2 linked regions of the Drosophila melanogaster genome follow. The protein of the gene in region 1 purifies or fractionates together with the protein of each later gene. This does not show direct contact. Each region holds a gene or a part of one and is shown in the gene's direction. Other genes may lie near its edges.

What was found.
Region 2: the proteins of CG14507 (region 1) and CG34132 purify together in Drosophila melanogaster (affinity purification with mass spectrometry, with the first as the bait; one large-scale study listed by BioGRID). This does not show direct contact.

Annotation. Positions count from the first base shown.
Region 1 is NT_033777.3:29,225,801-29,229,557, reverse strand, and holds CG14507 (uncharacterized protein), read left to right. Parts: upstream 1-1,832; 5' UTR 1,833-1,880; coding exon 1,881-2,332; intron 2,333-2,621; coding exon 2,622-3,291; 3' UTR 3,292-3,354; downstream 3,355-3,757. Other genes in the region: Brd8 (bromodomain containing 8), read right to left, coding at 3,370-3,757.
Region 2 is NT_033779.5:7,883,453-7,886,716, forward strand, and holds CG34132 (uncharacterized protein), read left to right. Parts: upstream 1-2,050; 5' UTR 2,051-2,196; coding exon 2,197-2,352; intron 2,353-2,424; coding exon 2,425-2,523; 3' UTR 2,524-2,657; downstream 2,658-3,264. Other genes in the region: CG7102 (uncharacterized protein), read right to left, coding at 85-376, 459-1,129, 1,203-1,336, 2,856-3,018, 3,083-3,245; small ribonucleoprotein particle protein SmE, read right to left, coding at 1,607-1,891.

The DNA of each region.
Region 1 (3,757 bases):
GTGGGCAATGCTGCGCTATGCGGATCGGAGAAAAAGTTATAGAACGCCGCTTCAGCCGCCGATCGAGTGCAAAAAACCGATTGAAAAGTAAAGAAATTTTGTTTGCAACGTAAGACACGCACGCACACACATACGCACAACCGCACGCACTCACACATGCACACGCTACTCGCTGTGTTAACAGCACTTTTCACTTTTTTTTGCACTACCAGCTGCCCGGTTTGCGGCCATTTATCGGATTCTATCGCACGCACGACGGCCAAACTCGCTGGTAGCCAATAAGCATTCGCTCTGGAGCTATTTAGTCCCGGTTTTACGTCGCTTATTACATTAAGGTTGCCTAGTGAAATTATTATATTGGAGCGGACGACTAGGGATGCAAGAGAAATAATCGATGCCTGTCGTGCCAGCGCTGGTATCGCTATCCCGACTATCGATGGTGGCCGAAAGTCGAATAGTCTCAATCGATTGGTTTTCCGATCGTATTTTATAGCGATAACAAAAGCGCAAAAATAGCGAAATTCAAACACTACAATTTTTTATTTAGGAGTTAATCAAACTAGTAACAATTTCGAATGAACCGGAAAAAATTTGTGAATGAAAGAACTTTCTTAATAAATTATTTTTAAAATGTATTAACTTTAACATAAATTTTGAGGAAGAAACTTGTTAATGATTTACATTAAGTGTCAATGAAAGTGAAAGAGGTGTGGCCCCACATTGGGCGCCAGAAACATTATCTAAATAATATACGCGTCTATCAAGAGCAGCAAAGTGATAATTAGCTCATAAATATGAATGAGCAGTTGTGTGGGCCAGCGATTAGAGTACCTAACTTCACCCACAATGCCGTATTAATATCAACTAAGTGTGCCTGCAAGTGCAATTGAGTTGTTTGCTTTGGCTTTTCCTTTCACGCGAACTGAGGCACTGAACCACTGAGGCACTGGACCACTGAACCACCAAAAACCACCGAATGGGGCGACGTAACAAAAGGGGGCGCACTCTATAAATTACCGCTGTGCAATGGCCAGTCGGCAGTGGTTAAACAAAGTTGGCTTAGCTACTTGAATGACCATATAATCTCCATGCACACGAGTGGATATATTTTATCTCCGTTGTCTGTGTGGTTTGCACACACAAATTTGCAGCTGGGAAAGCAGACCAGTCACGCAGTCGCAAATTGTTACAATTAAGGCCCACTAAAAATTGACCGTGAACTGGTTACGACTGCAGCGGATTCAATGGCTTCTAGGGCCCGACCTTCGCCTTAACTCTCAAACTTAAAGTTTTGCCCAAGTGAATAGTCACCATAAAGTGGCTTCAAATTTGTGCCACCGTTTTGGCCACCCACCAGCCCCTGGCCAACTTCACGGGCTTATTTTTATAGCCTACACAGAGAGAATCATTTAAGTCCAAGTATTTTTGAAGATTTTTCAATTAAGTTTCCTAACAACTTAATAAAGTTCCTTAAATAGTGTAAAAATGTTGTCCATCACTTGGCTTTCGAGTTTTCGTTTTTAATCATTTATTTAATACTATTCTATTATACATATTTTCTAATATGAATGTTAGAAATTCTGTGTGTAGTTGCACCAAATCTGCCAAAAAAGTATTGCCCGGTCATTGTTATTATTGTTTCTTTCTGCTCTCACTGTTCGTTTTCAGCTGCTACTTTGCTATTTGCTATTAACACGCTTTTGAGCCATTTATGCCGGTGTACTTGGCTCGCTGCTGTTGACCAACTAGCAACGAGCTACCAACTGCAAACGAGCCACTACCGCATTTCCCCCAGCCGAGCCAGCTTCAATTTTCGATAGCCGCTCGAGGCGAGCAGTTCGGCGCAGAGTGGTGGTCAGCTTGAGTTCCTGGATGCGAACATGTTGTGGATAATGGGGCTAGTAGTGGCCGCTGTGCGGCTCAATGGACAGGCGAGCGGTGCGGCAAATGTCACGGTAATCGAAGACATTAGGAGCGCCTTCAGAGGCGTCACCAACGACACGGAGCTGCTGAATCACATAATACCGGAAATGTACGGGGCGAGCATGCGCAGTGCGAATCCCTCCTTTGTCTTCAAAATGCCTAGCAAATCGAACGGCGGTGGCGACGACTTCGAGCTGCTAACAATGCAGCGATCCGATTTCGCGGAACCAATCTTCCCCAATATCAGCCAGTCGGCCACGGCCATCGATTCACCCAGTACCATTCCGCCGGAAACGAGCGTGAAGACCAGTCTCATGGTATCGCCGCAACAGGATTGGCAGCAGATGGGTCTGGATGGCTGGACGGGGGAGCTGAAGCCACCAGTAGCCTCGCTGGAGCAGGATCATAGGTGAGTGGGAGTTCCTTGGAACATTACCTATATAAAAAGATTTGGCATTTGGAAAAAGTTACTGACCAAAAGTTACTTACAAAATAAATGTCTTTCTGTTCTGGTTCATTAACTTAAATGGAATTTCTGGCTGCTGTTCTTAATTAAAGAGAAACAGCTGCTGTTCTCTAATTAATACTTTATTTTAAATTATTATTTTGCTTCTAAGATATGCTAGTTAGCTAAATGTTTCGAAACATCTAATCCATCGCAAGACAAATTAATGTTTACGCCCCAAGTCGATTTACAGGGACACTCGACCGCCGATCAGCTGGCAGAACTCGTATCCCCACGACGAGATTCGTCTGGAGTTCCAGAACCACCACTTCGATGGCCGGGTGACGGACATACGCGTGATAACACAAACAACTAGTAAACCAGCTGAGATGGAGGACCTGATGAATGTTCAGAATGTGTACATAGCGCGGGTAAACGATCCCTTCGGTTACTCCATGAAGTGGAGCTTCACCAACGACAGCAGCCGGGAAAAAGAGCTTTTGCCGGAGGGAGATCGCGGAAAGAGGGACGTTGCTCGGCTGTACTCCATGATCAAGTGCTCCACGGGCTGTGATCCGCTGATCTACAAGGGCTACGGCTGCTACTGCGGATTCGGTGGCCACGGAGTGCCCGCCGATGGCATCGATCGCTGTTGTCGCGTGCACGACAAGTGCTACGGTCAGAGCAACTGCATCTCCTATCTGGAATACTTTGTGCCCTACGTGTGGAAGTGCTACCGCGGCAAGCCGCTGTGCGCCGTCGATCATGGCGAGTTCGGTGGCCCCGACTCCTGTGCCGCTCGTCTCTGCCAATGCGACCTGCGGCTTTCCAGGTGCCTCAAGAGGTACTACTGCCCACACCGACGCTCCATTTGCCACTCGTCCAGATCTCGACGCTTACAGAACCTAATATTCTTCGATTGATGTTTATTGTTAATGCATGTAGCATGTAAGTTCCAAAATGAAATGCATAAATGAATACGTGTGAAAAGTTAAGTGAGCCTAGTGATGCCTTTGGCTCTTTCGGGAGCCGCTCCTGGCCTTGCTTCCGCTCGATTTATCCGCTCGCAAGCTTCCCGTGTTGCTCACCGGCGTGGCCGTGATCCCTGCCTGCACGTCCGGCAATTGGGAGAACTCTTTGATCGCCTGACAGTCCTGCACGAACAAACGCGCCGTTTTGTGCTGAGCCGTGTGTGGTTTGTAGGCCACCAAAACGTTGTGGGCCATGAGCAGGACATCCCTGTGCAGCTCGCTCAAGCTGCGAATGAATCCCGAGTCGATGTTCCGCTTGATGGTGGGGAAATCCATGGGGCGTAGGCATAGATCCGCATGTCGCTGGGCGTGCTCGTCGTGGAAGGGACGCTTAAAGGGAGCCGCATGCTTGCTGTCC
Region 2 (3,264 bases), on another chromosome or scaffold:
TACAATATTCGAGTGTTTGGATCGTTCAAGGAAATAGTTTTATTGCCAGCATAGCTGATGCAACTACAAGTTGTTTCCCCAATTCTAGTATCTATCGTATTTTGCCTTTGTGGGCACCCCAGGAGCTTGGCCGTTTGTTGAGTGGTTCAGGTTCTGATTATTGCTGTGATTTGCTCCACTATTACTACTTCCTGCCGGCGAGGAAAGGGTATAGACCTCATAGTCGGTGATGGTAAAGTTATAGTCCCCGAAAAGTGTCAGGTGAGCAGCGTTGGTTCCGTCGTAGGAATGCGGAAGATTCGAGTATGAGTCCATGTTTGTATTACAGTTGCTGGAAATGAGCAGATCGGCTCCAGCACCAAAAATGGGACCGCAACTAAAGGGGAAAGCAGACATGGTAATCAGTACGAATTCCTAAACATAATGTAATATATAAGATTATTTTAGACATCACTTACTCAGGATGATAGCAAATGGCATATGGTTTCTTTACAATATCAAACTTGACCGGCTGTTCCCCATTGGCTGGATTCAAGGCAAAGAGGAAGGCTCGCTCGGACTGAACATATCCCCCCTTTCGGCTTGTTTTGGCCCACGCCACATCCGTATAACCACCACTGATCTCTCCATGCGATCCCAAGCCAATAACCATGCAAGGAGCCACGCCGTCGCAATAACGATGAAAGGCTCCAGAATCGTAGCCATGAGTGGACGCTCGGAAAACTAATCTCCAGGATTGCTTGCCCACTCCAACCCAATTATTGAGAACAGTCTGTAGTGCCAGATTGTCATTCTTCAGGATTTGGGATCCGGGAAACATGTTGACCGCTACAGCTAGGCGGGGCTGAAGTCTCTTATCGTTATCCATCATCTTATTGGCATGCAAAGCGGCATAGCGATATCGTTCTAGGGATAGTTCCATAGGTACAGCTCCTGTAGGTTCCACTTCCTCCGCGAAAACTTGGCTATCGATGAGAAGCAGACGCACGTGACCCATTACACCGCTTAAGTGTTGGCAGACACGAGCACGCTCCTCCTCAGTCCAATGTGCAGTGGGTTGGGTGACTCCTGCCTGGTATTTGGCCCAGGATAAAACGCAGCGCCACACTTCCTCCTCTTCCAAGCAGAACTATTGGTAGTTAACAGTTTTGGTAATTAAAGAAATTCAGTAAATTGAGTGGTTATTCATTATAAACTCTTACATAGTCTGAGGAAATAATCTTAATAATGGCATCCTTTGTTAAAGTAAGGAAGGCATTAGTCTTAACGCACTCATTTGCATTTTCCCCTATGTAGATGATGCAGCGTTCCATAAACGAGGCAGCGCATTTGGCACCTGAAATTTAAAGGGAAAGTTTAAAATTAATTCCTTGTTTTTTAAAGACACTCAACGGCTTTTACCTTGAGACAGCATCCTATTCTATATGTCCTGAAATCGGATCGTATTTGCTACCTTACCCATTAGAAACACTTGATTACAGAAAGTCTACCATTTATTTCAACATTCGTCTTCAGATATCGGCTTTACATTTATTTTACTTATATTAAGGGCGTTCAGCGTTTGCAGGTGGAATTCGAAGGATTCGCAGGATGGCCGCTGAGTCGCCTAGTCCTTCGTGGGACTGACGTTCTGTATGAGCGTGATGTTGTCGCCCTTGAGCATGATCCTCCCGAGGTTGCGGCGCTGCCGGGTCTTCACATAGACTTCCTCGGCGTCGTCCAGCACCAGATTCATGTACTCATCGAATCCCACAATGTGGCCCTCGATGCGCAGCGATATGTTCTCGTATAACCAAACTTGCACGCGGGACCGGTTCTGCAGGTAACGGAAGATCAGGTTGATGGGCTGCACCATCACCTTCTGCACCTTGGGATTTCCTTTGAACGACATTTTTGCTGATTTCCGACGACTTAATTTGAGTTAAACAAATTTTCGCTTCTTTTTGCCGGCGTCTTCTTTTCGTCCAGGCGATAGGCAGAAATATCGATGGCACAGCACAGATGGTCACACATAATCGCGGCCTACCGAACTATCGACCAGCCTAAAGATACCAAAATGGTAAATCCTCTGGTAGCATAACCATATCGATAGAAACACTATCACAATCGCACTGTTAAGTTTTTGTGGTTGGGCAGAAGTTGTTGCCATTTATTCATAGCTGAATTAAACTATAGTTTATAAAGAAAACCAAACAAATGGCTATGGCTAATGTGGACAAAGGTGAACTTATGGACCAGGTTAAGCAACAGATTGCTGTTGCGAATGCCCAGGAATTGCTCACGCAAATGACCGAAAAGTGCTTCAAAAAATGTGTCAATAAGCCGGGAACTTCCCTCGATTCGTCCGAACAGGCAAGCTATACATATCTTATTTTGCACTATAGAATATGTATTTAAATAGTATTTCATTAATATCCAATTTAGAAATGCATTTCCATGTGCATGGACCGGTTTATGGACTCGTGGAACCTCATTTCTCGGGTGTACGGCCAAAGAATACAACGTGAACAATCCAAGTTCTAAACACACGAATCGGCTTCTGCATTTTGGAGCAGCTTGGGACTAACTATATCTGCCAGCTATTGATTAGTTGTTATATCTAAAGTTTGATAATGCAATAAAAACATGCATTGCGTGTTACGTGATTCTGATAACACAACGTGCATATGTTTTTTCTTATCGATATGTGATGTGGTACAAAAAATACCAAAACTTTCAGAATGGTTAGTCTCAATACATTTGACATAGCATATTATGTAGAATGTATAAAGTGTTTTGGCGCGAATATGCAACTTCACATAATTGCTTACTTTTAAAGGTGTGATTTTCTAAAAGAGCTACTCAATATTACTAACCTGCTTTTTCGTGTATATCCATAACGGCGGTTAAAAATGTGCAGGCATTATCCACCGACAATGTCGATATAACGTGATCCTCGCAGGCAGTTCGTAGCTCAACCACACCGATATCCTGTGCCAATATCATCATTTGAAATACTTGCGAGTCCTGGAGAACCAACTGAAAAATGAATTTTGGTTATAATTTTATTATGTTAGATGTTACTAATAAGTAGTTTTCTTACCTTTGCGGTGTAAACGTACAAGATGAACTGCCTGAATAGTTCCGGATTCACGTGTGGTAATCGTATGGTGGTCGGAGTTGAAGCTCCTGGGGCTGCTGGCGATACTGTGCATCCGGGAATTCGACACACTTCACCTCTCTTCGCAGTCTTGAAGCTCTTGCACCTGAAATCGAATTGAGTGA